4 linked regions of the Arabidopsis thaliana genome follow. The protein of the gene in region 3 interacts with the protein of the main gene of each other region in a pairwise test. Each region holds a gene or a part of one and is shown on either strand. Other genes may lie near its edges. The genes, in order: EDA14, PPT2, AT2G46550 and ATG8F.

Region 1 (6,079 bases), on a different chromosome or scaffold from region 3:
CACAGAGAAACTGTTGTGACACGAAAAAAAAAAGGGCAAAAGAGCTTAAAGTAATCACCTTTGGAGAAAAAAGGAAGAACTTTATCTTCCCTGATTCCGAGAGACAGAGAAAGGAGGAAGAATTAGAGGAATTGGGCAATGAAGGTAAAGAGAGAGAGACGAGAAGGGCGGATGTTGAAACCACAGCTCATATAGGCATTGTAATTGTAACAAAGAGCTTCAATCACCTCCTTTGCACGGTACATTATATATTACCCAATTACCATTCCTCTTTTCTTCTCTTTTTTAAATCCTAACTTTTATTTTTGTCATTTTTTAAAAAACAATTTGATAAATAATTATTGTTCTAACCAGTGTTCTAAATTACGATAAACGTTTTTCTTGTGATATATTAGTATGTAAATAATTCACGATGACTTGTTATGAAAACTACTTGATTAGTATTAACAGAATTTTTGCACATTTATATGTATATTATATTAAAATTTATTTGAATTATAGTTGAAAATATAACAAATTTAACGGATAATCCGTAAAATTTAGCGTGTTTATATTGAGATACAGAAAAGTGGTGTATCATATCTTTCTTTCTTTTAGTTAGTCATTTTATTTTTTATCAATAATTTTAAAATGTTATATACTTTAAATCTTTTGGCTAAACATAATTAATTATAAGTTTATTTTATATAGACAATTAATAGGTTTCTGAAAAATTGGAACTAATAACGCATATCATAAACATAGGGGTAACATTTGTGTCTTATGCCTTTAATTAAAATGACTTTATAATGTTTTCTGAAATTATTTAAGACTAATTGTTTTTTAGTAGAAATAGCAAATATCATAAGCCAGTGCATTTGTGTTATATGCCAAAGATGGCTGTTTTTCTTTATAAGTTAGGATTTGATTCCAAATTTAAACTTGTACTAAAACAGCAATTGTACCAAATCATTTAAAGTCCCATTGCTTTTTGTTTTCTTTCTCTCTTTACATAAGAGTAAATAAATAATAAATTAAAAAGGCTGAACCAATATTTTTTGAGTCTTTTAAGTAACAAAATCTAAAACTTAAACAAAAACCAAAATTTAAAAGCTGAGTAAGATTTGCGTATTTTTGGTAAAAGCCAATCAGAAAGAAAAGGGCCCATTATTTGCTATTTACAAACAGTCTTTTTGTGTATACCGAACTTTATCTTAGTGGTAAAATTTTGAAGTCTTCAATCTTCTATTTTGGATTCATGTGTTTATATTTCGTCAATCACATTAGTAAAACTTTTCCAGATACGCAACAAAGAGCTTAAAGTAAACAGATATTGTCCCATCCAAAATTGTATGTAAAGTTCTGCAGGTTCTGGAGATCAAAAAAACTATAATAAAACTGCCTGCTATATAAACTTTAATAGAGATCAGAAAAATGATGTCAAGCTACACAACCATGAAAGCTTTTCTCTTCAGCGTTTTCTATCGGCGCGCCATTTGTATACCGCTTTACCATTTGGATTGAGCAGCTCGTCATCACGCAGCTTCCGTTTGCGACCCTTTTTCTGTCCATTAAAAGAGTTTAATCAGAGATGGTCTAGTTGCATACCAAGAAACAGTAATGTGTTCGGGGGACTGATGATAACCTGTAACTCCTTCTGCATTGACATATCCGTGTATAACTTCTCCAAATCTTTAGCCCTGCTCTTCCGCCCCTCGAGGTCTCTATAGGACCTATCCATTTTCCTGTTTTAAGAAAATAGAATACAATGACTATTGATTGTCCGTTTGATACCTTTGAAAACATCTAATTCATTTCAGATACATACTTTTTAATATCTTTCGGAATCTCTACTGTAGAGATATCACTTTTGCTTCTACCTTGTACCTCCAGTTCTCTAGCCTCCTCTCTGATAAAGGAACAACAGAGTTAAAAAAGAAGATTATAAGAAAACACAAACAATGTGGTACCGGTAATGTCTTTTAAATGTTAAGGTAAGGAGGATCAAATTTTGCAGTGTCCATATGACACATTCAAAATGAATGAGAAAATCACGAAAGCTACACCAAGTAAAGAAAGGACTAAAAGTTGGGATTAACCTGTCTTCTGCATAGTAAACATGTCTACGGCTTGACTGATCCCCAGTACATTGCAGCGATGCAGTCAGCTTGTCAATTTTCTACAAAAGATAAGAAGGAACAAAGAGAAAAACTGGATAAATATGATCGTAAGCAGAAAGCTCTTGGGGTGTGTATGAGGAAAGATAACTTACGTTTTTCTCACTCTGCCATTTTTGGAACACATATCCAATATCTTGAGTCTTCATAATCATAAGCTCTTCCGCAGAGTATTTATTTACCTCATCTCTGAAAACAATAACTTTGTCAAAATTTACAAACCAAGAAGAAAACGAGAAACCATGAGAATAGCAAAAGAGATAATAGTGAAAAGCAAAAAGAAGAAAACGAAGAGTTTCGATATGCTTACTTTGGTCTATGACGTCCATCAACTGTTTTACTATTAATCATCTTAAAGTTGAATTCATCTGGATTCTTGAATGCAGCCTTCTGCCTAAGTATCTGCAGTAAAGTAAAACGGTGTAAGAGAAACTGAACTCCCAACGATTTAGTTTCTTAGCTATCTCACAGATATCATCAATCAATCCCGTAAACTAACAAATGTCTACTTGAAAGACTTTATTAACATAATCTCGACAGTATAATCATAGGAGAGATGGAATTGAAAACAGAGAGTGTAATAGTTACCTTTAAAGTTTCCTGCTTTTTGTGATAAGCATTAGCTCGGATAATATAATCCTTATGCTTCTCGAGGATGCCAAACCTCTTCCTCGCTTCCCTGATGATACGTTTAAAAATCCAAACTTTAAGAAGAGAAACGAAGAAAAGAACAAAAAGGACACCTGAGAGCAATAATAGCTTACGGTTGAGATCGCTCCTTATGAGCAGGCCGTGGAATAGCATTACGCAGCGACGACATGTTGGATTTGCTCTTGACGCTGCAATTTCAGTCACAAAACTGTTTAGAATTAAGAGAGCTTAAAGATGATCTTAAGCTACTCGAGCTCATCAACTTAACGAATTGAAACTGAAACCCTAATCTGAAGTATGAATCTAATCCAACAATGCAACATTCTCAAGTCTAAACCTAACTATGCATTCGAACAGACGAAACGAAAGAAAAAAAGAAGCCAAAGATTCTCACGTGAAATACAGGGGAACCCTAGAAATTAGACGACGCCGAGAAGAAAGGTGAAAAGTAGAAGTCGCCGGGAACACAACAAATTTCACCGATGACCTGAAACTTGGTTTCTGGAAAGGAGTAGAGAAGTCGGCGAGAAGAAGAGTTTAGGGTTTTTTGGGGATAAAGAAAACTCAAACCGAACCTTCTAGCTGAGACTAAGGGTTTAGTGGATACGTCGCAATTACTCATTTACCCTTTTTATCGTTTTAGTTGCTTTACTTGCAAATTATAGTTTCCACACATAAAATGTCTTAACGTCTTTAGATGAAAATTTCGTAATTAACTTTCCAAATGTGATGAGCATTGCACATCTACCGTTCCAAATTTCAATGTATCTTTGTACAATTTATTATTTGTTTGGGGTGTTTCATAAAGAGTGCCAAAATTTGGGGTAGAAATTATAAAACTAACGAAACAATGCATTGCTTTAACTTGACAAACGCACAGATACAGAGAGACAGAAGATATCAAAAAGCTCCAAACGCTTAAAACGTGATCAACAAAGCAACAAAAGTAAACTACGATTATGAAAAAGGTCGAGACTTTACATGATCTTTATCTGTCTCTCTATGTAATTGTGCATCTCTACATGAAACCCACAAGATAAATGCCTAAGCAAAGAATAATTGTTCTTTTTGTTTCTTTGTAGTTCTCATCTGCCGTGCAGATTTAGAGTATTGAAGATTGAAGAATGCAGGTTCATTGAAGCTTAGTGATGACCATCATTTGGAAGTTAACTGCATGTGACATCTGAGTAGAAACCTATTATAGTCCTCCTCTCACAATTCTGGATACTGAGCAACTCCACGTCGAAAACTTCAAATTGCTTCGAGCTGAAGAAGGTCGAAGGTCCCACCTGGTTAGAGCCCAATGAACTTTGTTTTGTCAAAAATATGATCGAACCAAAGTGAAGACAGTTTTTACACAGTACAAGTCTAATCTACATTGGTTTAGATATGTCCCTAAACGAGCATGCTCAAGCTAGTAATTCCATTTGAAACATTGTTGATAGAGGGATGGTATATTCAACGGAATGGCTCAGCAAAAGTTTACCACTAGTCAGGTTTACAGTTCAGACAAGTGTATACTTGTAAGGAACAAGTAAGAACACTAACCGGAGGTCCCAATTCTGGAGGGATTATAATCCTTCTTCGCCCACCGGGCTTCATGTCACGAATTCCCATTTCAAATCCTGCATCATCATTATCCATATAGTATTAAAAATCTTCAATATGTGTTTCCTGTCAAAGAAGATTCTTCATTAACATCCTACTACTAAAGAGCCAAGTTAATGTCTTCTACTTGCCTGGAACAAGTGCATTGGTTCCCATGCGGATTCTAGCAGGAGAACCTTGTATGTAAGTACTATCTATTCGCCTTCCAGACTCATTGTAGCCAATGTAGTGAAAAGTCACCTGTCAAAATAACCATAAAACTCAATGATATCTTCAATTCTATATATCCAAGTAAAGAGCATACCAATTCCATAAATGATCTAACTTCAGATCCTAAGTTTAACTAATCTAACATAGAGGAAGTAGTACCTGCTGACCATCTTTTGGGAAATCACCTTGACCAACATTGAAATCCCGATATATGAGGCCAGAATCAGCCTTGATGTAATTATCAGAAGCTAATACCTTAACCTCAAAACCTGCACTATATCAGCAAAAACATAAACACAAACAAAAGGACAATAAGTTCTCATATTCTTCTTCCACTCAAGAATGAATAATACTCAAAGAAACAGTGAATAAAAGCTTAAACCTTCTCTAACAAAGTTAGGAAACTCGTCAGGAGCATTGTTCTCTCTCTGTATCCTCTTGTTCTGTTCTAGTAACCGTCTCTCATCATAAGGACTCTTTGATTTAGTCTTCGCAGATGAAGACAACGCTGGTAACAACAAACACGGCGAAGCAACTAAAACATAAACAAGACTTCTCCGACTCAAGCTGCAATTAAAAGACCAAGCTTTATCTCCAGAATCAAACCAAAAAAAGGAAAAAAAATTATCTCTCAAGATTGCAAATTTTACCATTGGTCTTTTGGTTCTTCACTCAATGAACAACATACCGAGCGATTGCTCCGAGATAATGACAGTTTTGTTTCACCTATAAGATTTTATGGAACAGTTTTGGTCACTTAACTAGTCTTATGGAACCAGCTTACTGAATCGTAAGATCAATAAGAGTTTTGAGAGATAGAGGGAAGAACTCACAGAGAAATGTAAGTCTTGGAGAGAGAGGAGTTGATAGAATCGTCACCATTGCTTCTCCCTCCGGCGATTCCTGCAAAAATCCAATGTTTATCCTAAAGTTTAATTTTGTAGATAAATTACATTTTACACCATCCATTTTCAGTTTATTATAATTTGGACCCACAATTCCTTTTGTTACCAATTTATCCGTGTGGTCATTGGTCAAACAAAGTTGACGAAAACTTTACTTGTGGTCTTGTGGACTCTTAACCAACTTGGTATTTTTGGACAATGACTCCGAGCAAAATTTAATAAGGTTAAAAGTTCATTTTTATTCAACAATATAAACTTCAAACAAAGAGAGTGACAACCAGATTCTCATCAACAATGCCGATGAATTAAAATTACAATATTAATACAAGTAATGAGGCAATAAATGGTGGTGAGTGTCATCTGAATTGGCTGTTTCTGAAAATACCAGTGCCTCCTCCTCTAGGTTGTTCACCGGATATGAGTTTCTGCAACCTAATTTGTTCTCGGAATTTGGCTATGAACTCACCGGCTTTTCTATCAACCTCATTATGATCATGGCTTGCATTGCTTTGGCTTTCCCAAGCAGCTTCTTCCTCCTCTTCGAAAGTT
Region 2 (5,851 bases), on a different chromosome or scaffold from region 3:
TTTGGTCACAAAGGTGATCCTTAAATCGATAACTGATATAAAGTACTGTACAGAGTTGGCTAAACCGATGGCTACCGACCACCAAAAAAACCTCCAGGTGGAGCTCCTCCTTCGTTCATCAACTTATCCAGAACCACGTTGAGGTCAACAGCTTGGCCGTTTTCAGTCAGTTTTCTCACTGTTGCTCTGACTTGGTCCCTTGGGAATCCCATGGTTGTCACCCTGTCGATTACATCATCGATTGGGGCTCTGCTTTCTGATCTAGGGGAACTAGAGCCACCACCGCTGCTGACGGCTGAAACCATTGGCAAAGCGTGTGGCAATGGACGTGAATTTGAGAGCTGTGGGTAACCAGTTCCATTGCTACTTATATGTGGCGGTTTCGCTGAGGACATTGGTGAACCACTGTATGTGTAAGGTTCAGACAAGTAGCCGGACGGAAAACCTGAATTAGATCTACCACCCGCTCCATCGTACATTGATGGTTGTGGTTGAGGAGGGTTGTAGAACTGTTGAGAAGGGGTAGAACCAGCAGGTGGCTGTTGACGAGGAGGGTTTGGCGGGTAAGATTGCATCTGATATGGTGGTTGTTCTTCGGGGTTGTAGCCTGATGATGGTGGTGGCTGTTGGGGGTACTGTGGCTGCTGAGGCGGTGACTGGTAAGATGGTTGATGCGGCGTTTGGGTCTGAGGAGCTTGGTAAGGAGGCGGGTTTGATGGAGGTGGTTGAGGATGACTAGGCGGAGGACAATACGGCTCTTGTTGAGAAGAAAACTGCGTAGGTAGCTGAGGTGGTAGTTGCGAGGAAGGTGGCTGGGAAGGAGCAGCAGTGGAAGATGGTGGCTGTGGGAAAGAAGTAAGAGGAAACTGCTGCATAGGGACTGGAGCGGGCGATTGAGCAGTGGGATCAACGTGTAAAGAGTGTGTTTTGGCATGCTGGTTGGATACCTGATGCTTTGAAAGCTGAGCTTCGAGAATCTCTTGTTTGTCCTTCAATAGTTGCACACCACTCTGCACCTGCACACCATTCGCATAAAGAAGGAACTGAAGTATCAACAGAAAGTACTATAAGCCTGGTTCAAGAAAAGACATGTTCATAAATGAGAAAATTTCTGTATAAAAAAGATCAATAGTTGCCAGGAAAAGCTATAAATTCTAGTTTCGAAAAGCAATCAGCAAAGTTACCTCTACAAGGATATTTTTAAGCTGTCTCATTTTCCCATCAGTGCTGCCGTGACTATTGTCAACAGAAACTTTGAGATCATCCACCAGGTTCTCGAGGTTGTGGGTTCTGGTCTCCAGCTGTGAAAGACGTGCACTAACACCTTCCATTACATGAAGCAAGGTATCGGTATGTTTCTTCATTGTCCTATCTATAATCTCGGACATAATAGTCGTGTTAAACACATTTTGACCCTTGTCAGGAACCAACTTGGAAGGTTCAATAGAATCGAGAGATCCAAAATTCTGGCCGAATAAAAAAAAACAAATCAATCAGAAATAGACAAGTCCTCTTATAGGCTTATGATGTAGAATCATGTACAAAAAAAAAAAAGAGAGGAAGATTCGAGAAGTAGTAGTAAGTACAGTGTTAGGCGAAGTAGTGGAAACGGGTTTATAATCAGAGGCGGACCAATTAACCCTAGTCGTGGATCCGGCGAGATCTAAAGCCGAGTGAGACAATCGTGCGGCGGTGGTGGGACGTATGGGATGGAAATCATAGCTAGGAACGATCACTTCTTTCTTAGAGTCCAATCCATTATCGCCGATCACCTGCTTCTTCTGGTGATCATCGCCGTCATGATTGTTCATCAGATCGATGAAATCAGTGGAAGGTAGAGATGAAGAAGAAGATAGATCCATTATCTGCTTATCCATAAACTGACAAGTATTCATCGATCCACCCGACAATTTCTCCGACTCCCGAATTTCTTCTTTTCTTTCTAAAACCCCTCAGATCGATTTTTATTTTTTTATTTTTATTTTATTTATGTCATAAAATTGACCAAGTTGCTCATGTCGACGTACCTTCTGATTGGCGTAGAAGGTTATGGACCCTAAATGGGCCGAAATGTATTTAGAATTCAGTTTCCATCCTCTCCGTTTAAAGCCCAAATTGTGATCAATGACCTGTACCAACACTGACATAATAAGTAAATGGTATAATCAATAATGTGATCAAAGCAATGGGACCAACCTTATTTGTAATAGTATGAAATAACACGGAAAGAAAAGGGTGGACTCAGGAGCATACAATACAACATCCACATGTTTCAACGCGGCCCCTTTCATATCATCCATACAATTCTCCCCTGACATTTTCAAATTCCACACTAAAAATCAATTGGTGTTGTGGTCAGTAATTTGTCATGTTCGTACGTAAACTTTATTTTAAATAATTATTTATAGCGTTACCAACTTTTTGATATTATTATAAACGAAGAAAACCACGGCCCCTTTGTAAAGAAATGAGTGACCAAGTATGTCAAATCATTTCCATAACATTATTTACAGAACACACATGGAATGGAGAACATGAGAAGAAACAATACCGGCAAATACCACTGGCTCTTATGAGGAAAGATAAATAAAATCGAGCCAATGTTATATTGAAAAAAATGTCGGCATCGGCATGTGAGTTATTTTTATCATACTCAAAAACATTCAGATAGTAGAACGAGAGAAAAGTCACATAATAAAGACAACTCTTCTAAATAATACTAATATCAAGTTTGCAGTATATCCAAAAACAAAACAAACTTTTTTCTTCTTACATGAAAATGAGGAGGTAGACTCATGTAACATAACTCTTACCAATAGAGGAAGAAGAAAAAGTTAGCAAGAGTCGGTTACTTGTGAGAAATTCCAACAAATGCCGGAGGATTTATGCACATCTTGGAGCATCTGATAAGAGGAAAAAATTATGTTCGCTCTCACATTTCTAAATCCAAATCCAAGACTTCCATCTCCATTGTTCCTTGCCAAGTCTACTCCTGAATCAGCGTTGAGCAGAAGAAGCAGAGCTTTTTCATCTTCTAACTCTTATCCTTGGAGACCGAACCTTAGATTTAATGGCTTCAAGCTCAAGTCAGCTACAGTTCCGGAGAATGTGGAAGGAGGAGATTTGGAATCTGGAAGTTTGGTTAAAGGGTTGAAGCTAGGAGGCATGTTTGGAGTTTGGTACCTTCTCAATATCTACTACAACATTTTCAACAAACAGGTTCCTTCTTTGCTTCATTTAATTAAACAGTCCATTTCAATGCAAGAAGCAGTACTCGAACCTATTATCAGTCTTCATACAAGTATGAAACTTGTTCATTCATCGATCCAGGTACTTAGGGTTTATCCATATCCAGCGACTGTAACAGCATTTCAATTAGGGTGTGGAACGTTGATGATTGCTATAATGTGGCTCCTTAAACTCCATCCACGCCCCAAATTTTCTCCTTCTCAGGTAAATCAAATATTGATTCCGTCAAACCCTAAAAACAGAGAGATTCATTCAATTGTAATCCTCTCCAGTTTACGGTGATCGTACAACTAGCAGTAGCTCACACGTTAGGGAACTTGTTAACAAATGTGAGCTTAGGAAGAGTAAATGTCTCTTTCACCCACACTATCAAAGCAATGGAGCCTTTCTTCACCGTCTTGCTTTCTGTTCTCTTGCTCGGTGAGGTAAGCAAAACAAAGATACGCTCTGTTTCAGACTTAATCTATAACCTTAGATTATACAAGAGAGTTATATTTTCAGACATAATCTTTGAAATTTTGATTAATGTCCAGTGGCCGAGTCTGTGGATTGTTTGTTCGTTGTTACCTATTGTCGCTGGAGTCTCTTTAGCATCTTTCACAGAAGCTTCTTTCAATTGGTATGAACAACAAGAACAAGAACAAAAAAAATAGTATTCTTGATAAACTTTTGATGAAGTTTTAATTGATTTGATTAATTCATGGTATTGGGATAAACCAGGATTGGTTTCTGCAGTGCAATGGCTTCTAATGTGACGAATCAATCACGCAATGTCCTCAGTAAAAAATTCATGGTTGGAAAGGTAAAAGAGTTTGAATATAAGTTATCCTTATGATCTCAAGAAAGAAACTAGTAATCGAAATCTATTAATGTTTGTATATTGAAACAGGACGCTTTGGACAACATCAACCTTTTCTCTATAATAACCATTATCTCCTTTATCTTACTGGTTCCTTTAGCAATCCTCATCGATGGGTTCAAGGTTACTCCTTCGCATTTACAAGTAGCAGTAAGTGGAAAAGCATAAACCGATATAGCTAGATGATCTAAAAGAGAAAGAACTAATGTGTGTTTGTATGTGGTTGCTTGACAGACAAGCCAGGGTTTGTCGGTAAAAGAGTTTTGCATCATGTCTCTACTTGCTGGTGTTTGCTTGCATAGCTACCAACAGGTTGGTCCGTCTAGTTCCTCCGTTTCAGAAAAACTGTACTGAATTTTGTAAAGTCGGTTAGTGTTAGGCTTCTAATCAACACATAAAAATTGGGGTTGTTGTTGTAGGTATCGTATATGATATTGGAGATGGTGTCTCCAGTAACACACTCTGTAGGGAACTGCGTGAAGCGTGTGGTGGTTATTACATCATCCATTCTTTTCTTCAAAACTCCAGTCTCACCTCTTAACTCTATAGGTAAACAACTACTAGTAGTATATATTAGTAAAGGATTTGTTACACTTGTTCATTTTATTGAAGCAATATATAATCACTTGTTAAATAAACAGGTACCGCGACTGCACTAGCTGGAGTATATTTGTACAGCAGAGCCAAACGAGTCCAAGTCAAACCAAATCCAAAAATGTCTTGAATTTTGTATATAGAAGCTCTTAGTTTATTATTTATGCGAAAAATGTTGATATTTTTGTTCATCCATGTCGTTTTTACATGACACTATTAACTTTTGTTAAATTCAACTAATCTCATTAAATAATTCTATTCTTTACATGGAAATTATATAATGGGCCTAGGAATAAAATTGGAGTGGCCCAAAAGGGCCCAAAAGAAGGAGGCGGCTCATTAAGGTGCAGATATTTTTGTTGCGACGATGGATGGTTTTATAAACCTAACTAACAGAGACGGTCTAAAGTTGGACATCCTTGCTTTTGGTCTAACTTTCTCTCTCTTGCTTCTACGCTTCTTCTTGTGGCGTAGATTGTTATAGAGAGGGAAACCAAAAAAGGGAATCTCAAAAGCTCGAGTTCACAGATTTGACCCGAGTCTTTAATCCAATCTGCTGGTTCGTTTTCCACATTCAAACTCGACTCTTGAATATCAAATCAGGTACGCGTTTATCTGTTGACAAAATTCCTCAATCCTGACTTAGATTCCTAGAATTTGGTATTTAAGCTCTCTGTTTCAATTTCTAGTTTCTCTCTAAGATTGCGTCGGTTTGGTCGTGTTTAATTCTGATTTCTGATCGAATCCTTTTATTACGTGTTAGTTTTTTTTTTTATTGTTCGATTTGAATCCAGATCTGTGACTCGATTGCAGTTGGATGCTTTTCTCATTTATGGTTGAATTAATTGAAACCTAAGTCGAGTTTGGTGATGATTTCTGTGGATTACCGATTTGGTTTACTGAATCGCTTTGACATGTTGCAGAAGTCTTTGCTATGGCTGCTACCGCTGCTGCTTCTGTTGTCCGTTACGCACCTGAGGATCATACTCTTCCCAAGCCCTGGAAAGGCCTTATCGATGATAGAACTGGTTACTTGTACTTTTGGAATCCTGAGACCAATGTTACTCAGTACGAGAAACCAACCCCCTCTCTACCTCCTAAGTTTTCTCCCGCCGTTTCTGTTAGCTCTTCCGTTCAGGTTCAACAAAC
Region 3 (6,165 bases):
TACTGTAATTTAATATCTGTGTGATATGCATATATAATGTTGTTAAGACTCATGAGCCATGGCAAGAAAAGTTTCAAGCTTTTTTCATTTGTTGTTAAGAAATGAATACATCTGATCAAGTGATGAACAAAAGTGAGTGTACACACATGCCTTTATATTAAGTTTCATAACAAACAAATGAGTCTGGCTTATTCATTGTGAATAGAGAGAGTAAAAGACAAAAAAGGAATAGGGATCATCTGAATGTAAGAAAACAGGGGAAGTCATTGCTTGTTTTAACTCTGTTTCTTCCCTGTGACACCAGCAATCACCTGCAAAAGCAAATTGGATCTGAGTTAATACTTGACGCCTTTGTTTGCCTGTAAAGAGTATATAGGAAAGCGTTGGATAACTAAGCAATGTGATAACTAACTAGTCTCTTTTATGCCCAATCCATTTTTGGCAGTAACAAAATGTGATCATGACACTCGTCCAATGATGAAAAGCATAGATTTTTAAGGCATGGATGAACCAAAGATGGAACTCTCAAATCACAAGAAGACGCAGGAGGAACAAAACATCGAGATGATGTATAGGCTACATCACATAGCAAAAAAAAGAAACGTCCAAACATTCGCCTACACGGATACTAAGAACAACTATCATGCAGAGTTCCCACATCAGAGACATTTCATTAGATAGGAAATAGATGACGATTTTAGCAGCAAAAGGAATTTCCACAGAGATAAATATATTCTAATACATACATCGGTAAGTGGAGGAGCTTTAACTTGTTTGGAAGCCTCGAGAGAGTCTAGAATAGGCCTCACAACCGCAGGCAAAAATAGTCCTACAAGATGAAGAGAATCCATCAGCAAATGTATATTAACACAATTGCCTTTTGCTAATGTTCAAGAAAGACATAATCTTTTGCTACTTATACATGGAGATAATGGAAGACATGGTTCCAAATTAAGCTTAATTTCAACTCCTTAAAATACACTCTCTTTGACAACCCAAAGAAATGACGATTCCGAATAGAGAGATTTGGATCAGGCATTTCTCTATATTCTCAAATTACAATCGAGCAAACTAGCTCTATAGATTCAAAGAGGAATTCCAGAAACTAGATAAATCCCAAAGCAAATCCTTTTCTAAGAAAGAGAATGCGATCGATCGGTGAGGAATTAAGATTGAGATTAGGGTTCATACCAACACCGCCGATTAAGCAAGAAGCAGCCACAACTGGTTCCTGCGCCACGAACATCCTCAATTTCTCCATGACCGGCATTTTCGCACTTTCCGATTTTAATCTCTTCCTCGGATTACGACCAAAGCTCCTCGTCAATGTCTGATTCGATTGATAGTTGCTCCTGAGTAAACCATTTTCTCACCTGAAACGAAATTAAAGATCATCTCCGGTCGGGTCGGGTTACTGGGCCCAAATGTTCGCAATTCGGCCCATTATAATCACCTTTGCCGTAATTAAAAAATATATATACTGTATATCTTTCTCTTTCTCATTCTGCTTCCAGCAGTAAAAAATTACTAAGTATTTTAAATTTTCAAGAAATCGAAGCTCTAGGAACATGAAAGAAAGATCATATACACTGTACAGTAGTTAATATATGCAGATATTACATGAACATGAAAGATACTTACTTACACATTAAAGAAGATAATTTCATATGATTTTTGAAGGAAAAGATCAAACTAGTAAACACAATATTAACAAAATTCTTACAACAATTTACATTCTCTCCTTAACGAAATCCAAAAGCTGATTCGAAGCCAATCTTTTAACTCATTTCAACATCATCAAGCTGTTCAATGAGAAAAAAGATGAAGTTTTGTCTCTTTTCTTCTCTTTAAACTAGAACGATAGCATCTGCATCCATCCAACAGTCCATCCAAGAAGCAAACCAGCACCAACAAGACTCATCCCCAATGCTAAACCAACCGCGTACTTTGCTCCATTCGGTTTACCCCTTTTGCTTCTTCTCTTTCTCCCCTCTTTTCTTGCTTTGCCATTGCTCCAACAAGGGATGGAAACCCCTGGATCGTCGTTGTTCTTATTGTCAATCTCCTTGTTCTTGATTTGGAGGTAAAGTGCTTCTAGCTGAAGCAGTTGTAACCATTGCTTATACCCAAAAAGCTCTGCGGCTTGCTTCAACAATATCTTCACCAAGTGCTCTTTCTCTGCATAAGCTTCTTTAGCCATATTCTCCGCTTCCCTAGCCCGCGTTTGCGAACGCCTCAGTGCTTCTAGAAGCTCGGATTTGCTTAAATCAGACTCAGATGAAGCCTCGGGTCTGTTCTTGCAGCTGCTTCCTTTGCTTGTACCCTTGATGGTTTGGCCAGAGACAGAGTAGTCTCTCAATCCATCAGAATCAAAACCACGTGGACTACCATAATAAGATCGTTTCATCTTCTGCGGTGTTGGTAAATCACAATTCTCAACATAGTCTAGAGATCTTTGTGCAACCAAGGAAGCTAACTCGTCTTTATCCGTAGTTCGCCACCACGGTGCAGCTTTCTCACTCGAGAGAAGATTCCACGGCGAGCTAGGATCAAAAGAGAGCTCACTTAACTTTTTCTCAGAGGACTCATCATACCCAGTTGAACCATAACTCTCCCTTGTCTCCATCAACTCTATAAACTCTTGAAAGCTTTCGGAATTAAAAGACTTTCCTTGTTTCTCTCCAGCTCCCAATTCAGACTTCTTCTCAGATACACCTTGATTGTTAACCTCATCCTCCAATGGCTGCTTCTTATTCACCTGAAACTGATGATGAGGATGACTCCACAGTCTGGTGTTGTGGGGTAACAGATCAGGGAAATTCGGGTTTCGAGGAAGAGGCATGAAACCTGCACAAGATGATTGAGTCCGTGGTTCAACAGAAACTCGAGGAGAAGAACCAGAAACTTCCACTTGCTTAGTTGAAGAAGCAGTTGAGGATGAAGATGATTGGCAATAAGTTAACTTGGGAGCTCTTTTAGCGTCTTCTTGGACAAAGCAACGATTAACTGTTCTTTGCCACACTGCTCTTGCTTCAGCTGCTGCCATTATTTCACCATAACTCTAAAGATAAGACAAGAGACTGAGAATTCAATTCAAGATCAATGTGATTTAGAAATTAGGTAGATTTAGCAAAATCTTATTAACCGTTTTGAATCTATTTATAGGAAAAATAATATGAATCATTTATTTCAAAGGAAGAATCTTTCTGATTGCCGACAGATCCATCACCAAAAAAGCTTATTACAAAACTACTTTTTAGAGAATCTGATATGTTTTGCTTTCCAGGTAAATTGAAGAATTAGTTCCTAATTTTCTTAGAAGCAAACAAAAACCAAAGCCAGATTCTTTGTCAATTTATCAACTTACTAAACAAATCATCATTATTTGCAATTGAAATCAAATTTCATAAAACTTCAACTATAAAATTATCAAACCCAGAAGAACACAAAAAAAAAACATGAAACGCGATTAGACCTAAGAATCAAAACCGGACACAAAAACAACGGATGGTGATCCAAATCATAATTCATCTTAATGAAACCGCAATAATTTGTAAGAATTCGGAAAAAAAGAACTAACCAGAAGGAGAGAGTAACACCAGACGAAACCCAAAAAACGGAAAAATCTATGATTGTTTAGTCAGTCTCGTGAAGAAGATAAGAGTTGTTCTGATTTTTTTTTGTTTTCTGATTGTCAGAGAATTTTTGTTTGCTTTCGATTAAAATCTTTTGAATCATTTTGCAGTTTATTATCGTTTTCTTAGTCTCTGTGTCATTCAGCACGCAAGCTTCCGCAAAACGGCACCGTTTTCTGAGAGGACCCATAGTTATGTTAATGAGTATTTGAGTCCACAGATTTGCCCATAGATTTCACCTGACAGCCGTTCGATTAGATATTAATTACACGTGGCGACAAAAAAGAAGATCTAAAAAAGGCTTCCCTTTCCTTTTTTAACGGATAAGACCTTTTATCTTATCAGTTATCACTATACGATTACGCGCGATGGTAGATTACGTCATAAATGTTTGGTTAAAACATAAAAATCTTGTAGTAATTGCGTCGAATGATTTTGATTTTTAAATGATCGATTAAATTTTAAATTTCAAGTTAGGGTCTACTAATATTTTTTATGACATCGTTTTCATTTAAGTAATAAAGTGGCCAATGGTAAATAGACATGTTGAAAATATAAAATTAGGTTTTTTACATGTCAATTTGGTTTAATGTAGTTCTGAAAGTTAGGTAAAGAGAATGTAAATAGTGGCCTCGTCTAGGAAATTGAATGTTAGGTGAAGCCAAGTGTCTTCAAGTCATTATGGTTAATTGTCTCTCTCCATTATTCTCCAATTGATAGTGTTACATGAGATTTATTTATTACGTGGTTAATAATTATTTAAGCAATCTAAGATATTCTAATAAGATGCTTTATGTGAGCACTAATATATTCAGTCATAATTAACACCATAGTCTATATATATACTATATATACAACTAACTTCTTTAGAATAATTATTAATGAAATGGACCTTTGCCTTAACTTAATAGTTTTAGGAATAATTCTTGGCAAATGGGGTTTTAATCAAACATTTTGATGATTCATATCATTTCGTCTACAAGACTACAACACAAATTATGGAGCAGTTTAATAATCAACCATAAGATAATATTCCACTACGTAATACGATAGTGGCCAGGTTCCTAGCCGTCAATTTTTCATAATCTTATTAAACTATATCGAGCTAATACCAAACCAACACCAAAAAGAAAGAAAAAAAATTACAATAACGAACTAAATCTTGATAATGTTTATTTTCGGTTCTATTGCACTACACTTAACACCAATCTAATTGGAATCAGTCCGATTTAATCTGGTCTAAATCTGATGCAACAAAGTCAACGAAAACTATGTCAAAGATAAATAGATGATATTTCCGAGTATAGATTGAAGTCAAGTCAAAGATAAATTAAAATCTGGATTATGGTCAACTCAAGATTCTACTGCTTCATAATCTTTAATATATTTGTATATACACAAATATTAAACCATATAGAGAAAAAAACTACATCACAAAAAATCACGTATTCAATAAACACACGCAAGGTAGCAATAACTCGTTTTCTCGACTGCAAAACTTTCCCGGAAAATGTATCTTCTTTTTATTTAGCATCGCCATAGGAAGAATCTACGAGGCTGACGAACTTCACCGTGCCATCACCACCACACGTTATAAATCCATTCGGACAAACTTGTATGTCAGTCACCCCAGCCTACACCAAATTCGTAACACATACCCAAATTCGATTACATACACCGACATTACTTTGATTCTGGTTTACTAAGAAACCAAAGCCACTGTGAGAAAATACGATGAAAGGATTATGCTTTAGGTGATTTGGTTCACTAACCCGGATGATTCCACCGTAGCCTCTCGAGTTTGGCTGCAGAAAAGTGTGTCTTTCGTGTAGTTTAGGCCAATGATGAATCAACTTTGCAGCTTTCGCATCCCAAAGTTTTACTTCTCCGTCTTTGCTTCCCGTCAAGAAAAGACTTGTGCGTGGGATTGTCGCTATTTTTGTCACACTCCCTGAAATTTGCATCAATGTCAATCAAATTTCAGGATATTTTTCCGGTAAAATTGGAATATGAAGGTGAAAATAGGCTTTAGGGTGTGCACCTAAGTGAGCCTTTGGTATATACCAAAGCATCCCATTCTTGTTTTGATCTCCATCAGTCGAAGATCCACCGTCAGGGTTCCTTTGCTTCTTCATCTTTCCGGTTGCAATAAACCGGAAATCGTGCAAACCGACATCACCATTTTTGCCACCAGTCACAATCATAGGAGAAATTGAACCACTACCAATGTCATTATCAAATACCGAGATAGAGCGTGCACCACCTTCATAGAAGAAAAGGGACAAAACAAAAAAAAAACTTGTTAAGAGTTGTGATTATGGGAAATGATACTAACACTTCTACAAAAAAAATTATTGGAGGACCTTCATGGCAATTGATAGATGCCTGGGAGGTTGAAGGGGGAGCTAGAGTATCCCACACAACGACATTTGCACCACTTGAGCTATATCCTGAAGCTGCAACAATGGATCCACTCGAACTAATATATCCTACATCTCTGCAACCATAAATAACAGAAACAGAATAGCTG
Region 4 (6,138 bases), on a different chromosome or scaffold from region 3:
TTCTCAAATGTTGAAAATCTTTTATGCAATACCCATAAGAAACAGAGTAATTAATAGGAAGCACCTTGTTTGTTGTATACGAGGAGAAATAGAGAACAAAGAAGTTGGTCATGAATATATATAGAGATAGCACAAGAGTCATTACAACCACCAACATGGTGAATGCATATGCATATAACAGTATGATATATTTAGAGAGACTGGTATATATGGATCGGGTAATTAAGACTTCTCGTTGTGGATCGGAGGCTTACGATGAGGCTGAGGATAATCCATGACTACTACTTCTTCCCCTGTCTCGACTCCACCCAACGCCCGCCTCCTTTCTCCACCATTGAAGACGTCCAAAGAAGCAACCTTGTGATGATGATGCTTATGTGACCTTAAACGACGAGCGGCAGAGGCACATCCAACATTGGAAGACAAAAGCAGAAGAATGAAACAGAACACTATCACGAGTCCACTCCTCAAAGAGCAAGACATGACTTCTCTTATTCTTCTTCTTGTTCTTGAGATACTTGTGTATATATGCTGTGTCTGTATACAGGGAGATGAGACTAGAGCAGGACAAAGAAAGTTTGAAATGTTGTTAATTGGTGTAAGAGAAGAGAAGAGGGAAGGAGAGTATTTGTAGGCAGAAGAGAGTAAAGAGAGTAAGACAAGCATTAAATACAGGTGGGGGGAGGGGTCCTTCATTATCATAACATGCTCTTGTTCCTCTTCTCTTTTATTTCTTTTTAATCTTCTCTCTTGTCTATTATTCAAATATATTTTACATTCAACATACATATCTATCGTATGTATATGGGTGTCTTGATCGGCCAAACCTTTTGTCTACTTGAGAGTCTTCGTGGGGTCATCATCTCCTGCATTCTCATTTTCCTTTCTTCCATTTGCTCACCTTATTCTCCGGTTCTTCACCTTTTTCATCCACGCCATTATTGTATGACCGACGTGTTTACTCTCTTAAGTCCTAATCGATCACCTTCTTATCACTACACTATTTGACATTGATTTCTTTGGACAAAACACTCACAAGTTATGAAAAGCTTTTACATTCAACTTTCACTTCAATGGTCCAAAATCCCAAAAACACAACCGCGTCTCTCATGTTCCACGTGACCGGTTGGAACCTTGAATTACAATCTTTGACGATCATAAATCGAGCTAAAACTGTGAACAAATAAATATATGAAACAAAAATCAATATTGAAAAGTGTAAGATGAGAAACAAGCCAGCATGGTCCGACCGTCTCCTCCTTCTCTCCGTCAACGACAATGTGGGACCTTTATAAGATCGTCGCCGGCCAACCTTCAACCGGTACCGACCATGTCTGCCACGTGGCACAGTTCCCTTGTGCTTGCACTTCTATTGAGTTTGGTGATATAACTTCTCTTCACTTAGGCTTTGCAATTTGGAACTGTCATGGCCCATGTGCCATAAGCGACGTGTTATGTCGGCTTATAGATTGAAGACATCAAAAAAAACACAACAAAGTCAAGAGGGAGATGTGATAGATTCACCTAAAGTAGGTTTTTAGATCCTTGAAAGAAGATTATATACATTATTTTATGTTTTCTGTACATATTAACGCCCGACCAAAGGTCCTTAGAGAATAAGTACATAGGTGGCTTGCTTGCTTAGTAATTAATAAGAAGATGAAATATTTGGTGAAAATAGAGAGGAGTAAAATGAAATATCCAGCAAGAGGTCTCTATTATGGAGATCCAAATCCAAATGTGTTTTCTCCGCTGTAAGTGACATAGAGGAACCCATCATCATCCTTTTTCTCTTCGTACACAGAAGACATGAGCGCACCTGCAAAGTTACCAGATCAGATCAGCCAAATATAAAGAATTTATAATCACCGGGGAACATATAAGTAGACGCCTTCTTATGCTCTTGTTACTTGTGTTAAAAGATAATGAAACTCCTGAGTCTTGAATACAGAGGAGATCTATCTGTTTACCTGCTGGAGGAAGAACATTGTCCACGAATATGAAGATAGCCTTTTCTGCACTCAATTTGATTCTTTTGCGAATGACATACACAAACTGCCCCACAGTCAGATCAGCCGGGACTAGGTACCTGCAAATTTGAAAAAAGCTTAGTTATCAATCACTATTATTAACAAGTCAGGTCCGAATGAAAAGGATACTGATGCCATTTATATGCTTACTTTTTCTTGTCGATGGTTGGTATATCACTCTTCTCAGCCTTCTCAACAATCACCTGGATCCCACAAAAATATAAATGCGTGGAAATCATCATCTCAAGTGTCATTTTTACCATGTGAATCATAAAGCACGTAGCCACATGAATCATGCAAATCTACTTATCTAAGCCGTAAGTACTCAGTAAGAATCGAGTTTCAGAAAGTCACGTTCCAAAAAATGACAACTAAATTCAAAGTCCTAATGTTGTTATAGTCACTATAACTCAATCAACTCCATGTAGTTGAAACAGTGGCAAACATATATCACAAGCATGAAGCTAATCAAACAATAATAACTTGATAACCATCCTTTAGTCGGGTAGGGTGTCCATTTAAAACCAGATGCTATCCCAATAAGTTCATTATATCCCAATAAGTTCATTACTACCATATTGCTGGGCCATAAACCACAACAACTTAACCTGCATAAACTCAGTCAAACACAAAAGATTGATCCGAACATAGAAAGGGAAACAATATGCTAATCACATATAACTTTAGAAATGTATGATCGATCAATGTATAAGAGAGACACTGAAAGTCTCACCGGAATCCTATCAGGATACTTCTCTCTAATCCTAGCAGCCTCTGCCCTTCTCTTCTCTGAAGATTTAGGAAACAGGATCATTAGATCAAAGCACAAGGTTTTGATTTCGAGGACCAAACAGTAAAGCAAGAACAAAGCTCAAATCCAAACCTAAGTCATGCTCTTGCTTGAACGAGCTTTTTGCCATTCCTTCCACGCCTACACACACATAACAAATAGGTGACACCAATCAGACAACCATCAAAACAAATTTAACACTCAAATCAAATCATCAATTCCCAAACTCTGGAACTCAGATTATCAAAATTCCCACAAATCTATCAGTCGATCATGTTAAAGACCCAACCTTTAAGTAATCTAAACGAAAGTACAGGATCGCAATCAAACCAAAAAAGAAGTTAAGAACTCAGTGATCAAACCTGTAGACTACAAAGAACGAAGCTTTTCTGCGATCAAACACTTCTCCAGAGCACAACGCTATCGTTGAAGATAACAACAACAATTAACGAAAAAATATGAAAGAAAAAGCAAATAAGCAACCTACAAAAATTCTGCAAAACATTAAAAAATTATGCGATAAGGTCAGAGATTCTCTACAGATGGTGTATGGTAACATCTAAACACTTCAGCTGACGTTGTATGCTTAATCTGTTCAGTGAGAATCTGACGGTAGATATTAGCTATTTACTGAAATAGGAATCTCAACCGTCCATTTTACTGAAGGTGTACGAGGTAACTGTCTACGTAGATATTGCCTCCAACAAAGGATAAAGAAGAACCGGATATGCTGGGATCACGTTTCTGCATACGATATGACACGTTTACCCCTAGAAAATGTGTGTTAGGTGAAGAGTTCGGAAGGGTAATAGTTGGAAATTGAGAATGTCGCTTATAAGCTTTGCCTCTTCTAACAAAATGTAGGGCCTAGTGCAGTAATGGGCCTTGCAAATAAACGGATGGAAATATGAAAACTAATAAATAAAGTATAGGCAGAAGTTTTTTTATGACTGTTATAGAGATCTGGAGATGTAGGTCTTGGTGTATGGACAGCTTAGGATTTCAAGCTTAGGCATTTCGAAATCAAGGGTTGAAAGCAATTACTGTATTTGAGAATATATCTTCAACACTGCACAAAACTCATTTTGTAATTTATTAAAATACCGGAATTGAGTGATTAATGTCAAAACCGAGAATTTACAGGATAACAAAGATAATTAATCAAAATGAATCTTTTATCAAAGTAAGATAAGTTTTCTAACAAGTTTTTTACTTATAGATATAAAATATTATAGTTGTGAAAAGACATAAACATTTTTAAAAGTTAAGATTGAGTTTTCTGAAGTTGAAAAAAAAATCAAAATTATTTTTTAATCATTATCCAAAATCATTACTTAATCCAAACCGATGCCCACCCTAATTATTTAACTATATTAATAAGGTTTGTAAGCAATAGTATATAAAAAGCTAAAAAAAATATAAGGGTATCTCACTACGTATGACACTTATCAAGTTTGTTAGAGCATATGGGGCACATATGTGGGAGTATGCACTTTTTCATGTTTATTTCACTGCACTTTTTCATGTTTATTTCACTGTTTCAAAACAATCAATACAATTATATCCTTACTCTCGTAACCTCAGGTCAAATAGCATGGTTAAGAAATGCCTTTGACGAATGATTTAGCTGTGCAGCAATATATAGTACTTTGAACTGCTCTAATGGGAGTGGATTGTGGATTTTCCTTTCTTCTGTTTCTTAATCTTGACATTAGATTTCCACTCCACCCCATCTTCGTCTAGTACCTTATAAGTCGTTCCAGCAATGTAGAAGGTGACTTTCTTCTCTTCAAGGTACCTCACAAAACGTTTAGCAAACTCAATGGGTGTTGAATGGCTTTTGTACTTTGATAAAAGACTCACAGCAATCTCCTAGTTAGGCTTGAAAATCAAAGTCTTGACAACTCGTTATGCCTCATCAATCACTTTTCCTCTAGCCAAGCCGTCTAAATATGTCCCCATTATTTCAATAGTTGGTTCTATCCATAGAGTCTTGACTATCCTTGCAAGAAGATAATGCCCATACTCAGTTTGTCGAGCATGTGTACAAGTTACCATCACGTTCCAAAATGTTGAGTGAGTTTTGATCAAGGTGGAAGGAATGTTCTCAAAGACTTGGATTGCTTTGAAGCATTCACTATTTGTGCCTAAGGTTGATATAAATGCATTCCACATACCTATACATGTAGCTCCAGATTTACCGCATTCATGAAAGAGTTTTTCTGTTAAGAAGAGTTTCAAACTCCAACTCTTAAGATTGGAGAGATATATTAGTCACATGGTAACTTTGTTAAGGAAAACAAAAACTCAAATATTTTTAAAATTTGTTAATCAAATAATTTTAAAATTGATTTCTTGTATAAAAGTATTGTTTTTTTGTGTATTTTAAATTATATTTTTATTTTTATTAAGTTATTATGAATCAAATATTTAAGAATTAAATTGAATTTTGATTTATACTTATATTCCAATCTTGTATATAAGTTAGTCAGATTGAAATATATGGTCGAAAATTGGTAAAAAATAATATTCACCATTATTTTGGTCATTAAGTTTTGACCACTTTTTGGTAAGATGTTTTCGACCACTATTCTCGGTCAAAAATGTCAACCGATCAAAATATTTCTACCATTTTTATTGGTCTAAAATATTCGAAGCAAATGTTTAATTCAGTATAAACATGCAACCAACAATTTACAAATGGTCAAAGAATTTCTACCAATTTTATTGGTCAGAACTCAACTTGCAACCAACAATTTACATCAACTTCGTTTTGGTAAAAAAAATATCGATCGAAGATAGGTGTTTTTGACCAAACTGATGAATGTATCAATTCTAATCGTAATACATTTTCGACATTTACCACACTGATGAATGGTTTTTACTGTTAGGGTCGAACAAAAAAAAAATCCAAATTGATGTTAGCTGTTCTGATGTCTCTAATTTCGATTAATTCTACCAAAACATTAATAACTTGGACTACATTTTAGTTGAAATTTACCCCTTAAAAACATCCAAATTGGGTGATACATTGGTGAGAGAGAAACCAAACCTCATTTAAAGTCATAAGTTATAATAATGCAGATGAGGACAAATATAGATTAGGATATGGTGTTGCTGGTAAAGGTGTGAAGCGACTTTGCCTCCTTGGTACCTTGAGAAATGTAATGATGAAGATGATAGTGTTCGTGGTGAGGATGATGATGGTGGATATAGAGGTTATGAAGCTGAGTGGGAAGAAGAGTTATTGGCCCATAATTCTAAAAATATACGACAGCCATTTTGAATGATTTCAACTAAACATACGGTTAGTTCCGG

Evidence for each region.
Region 1: the proteins of AT2G46550 (region 3) and EDA14 interact in a two-hybrid assay, tested with the Arabidopsis thaliana proteins (one large-scale study listed by BioGRID).
Region 2: the proteins of AT2G46550 (region 3) and PPT2 interact in a two-hybrid assay, tested with the Arabidopsis thaliana proteins (one large-scale study listed by BioGRID).
Region 4: the proteins of AT2G46550 (region 3) and ATG8F interact in a two-hybrid assay, tested with the Arabidopsis thaliana proteins (one large-scale study listed by BioGRID).

Annotation. Positions count from the first base shown.
Region 1 is NC_003074.8:22,311,027-22,317,105, forward strand, and holds EDA14 (embryo sac development arrest 14), read right to left. Parts: upstream 3,402-6,079; 5' UTR 3,202-3,401; intron 2,996-3,201; 5' UTR 2,977-2,995; coding exon 2,921-2,976; intron 2,836-2,920; coding exon 2,745-2,835; intron 2,559-2,744; coding exon 2,467-2,558; intron 2,346-2,466; coding exon 2,252-2,345; intron 2,159-2,251; coding exon 2,079-2,158; intron 1,889-2,078; coding exon 1,808-1,888; intron 1,725-1,807; coding exon 1,625-1,724; intron 1,544-1,624; coding exon 1,451-1,543; 3' UTR 1,232-1,450; downstream 1-1,231. Other genes in the region: AT3G60370 (FKBP-like peptidyl-prolyl cis-trans isomerase family protein), read right to left, coding at 3,974-4,096, 4,356-4,432, 4,547-4,655, 4,785-4,894, 5,008-5,192, 5,276-5,351, 5,459-5,594; AT3G60380 (cotton fiber protein), read right to left, coding at 5,887-6,079.
Region 2 is NC_003074.8:215,928-221,778, reverse strand, and holds PPT2 (phosphoenolpyruvate (pep)/phosphate translocator 2), read left to right. Parts: upstream 1-2,642; 5' UTR 2,643-2,922; coding exon 2,923-3,219; intron 3,220-3,330; coding exon 3,331-3,453; intron 3,454-3,521; coding exon 3,522-3,674; intron 3,675-3,782; coding exon 3,783-3,868; intron 3,869-3,969; coding exon 3,970-4,051; intron 4,052-4,138; coding exon 4,139-4,258; intron 4,259-4,342; coding exon 4,343-4,420; intron 4,421-4,527; coding exon 4,528-4,657; intron 4,658-4,749; coding exon 4,750-4,832; 3' UTR 4,833-4,974; downstream 4,975-5,851. Other genes in the region: AT3G01560 (proline-rich receptor-like kinase, putative (DUF1421)), read right to left, coding at 72-1,016, 1,185-1,466, 1,587-1,895; DRH1 (DEAD box RNA helicase 1), read left to right, coding at 5,637-5,851. UniProt on the Arabidopsis thaliana protein: Phosphoenolpyruvate/phosphate translocator that transports phosphoenolpyruvate (PEP), 2-phosphoglycerate and 3-phosphoglycerate.
Region 3 is NC_003071.7:19,110,412-19,116,576, forward strand, and holds AT2G46550 (uncharacterized protein), read right to left. Parts: upstream 3,796-6,165; 5' UTR 3,581-3,795; intron 3,062-3,580; 5' UTR 3,047-3,061; coding exon 1,853-3,046; 3' UTR 1,550-1,852; downstream 1-1,549. Other genes in the region: AT2G46540 (fiber), read right to left, coding at 276-311, 747-829, 1,192-1,270; AT2G46560 (transducin family protein / WD-40 repeat family protein), read right to left, coding at 5,159-5,269, 5,408-5,586, 5,677-5,898, 5,999-6,132.
Region 4 is NC_003075.7:9,305,164-9,311,301, forward strand, and holds ATG8F (Ubiquitin-like superfamily protein), read right to left. Parts: upstream 3,376-6,138; 5' UTR 3,183-3,375; exon of another isoform or gene 2,962-3,182; 5' UTR 2,951-2,961; coding exon 2,914-2,950; intron 2,820-2,913; coding exon 2,764-2,819; exon of another isoform or gene 2,327-2,763; coding exon of another isoform or gene 2,234-2,326; coding exon 2,181-2,233; intron 2,090-2,180; coding exon 1,971-2,089; intron 1,820-1,970; coding exon 1,719-1,819; 3' UTR 1,176-1,718; downstream 1-1,175. Other genes in the region: RGF6 (root meristem growth factor), read right to left, coding at 223-666. UniProt on the Arabidopsis thaliana protein: Ubiquitin-like modifier involved in autophagosomes formation. May mediate the delivery of the autophagosomes to the vacuole via the microtubule cytoskeleton.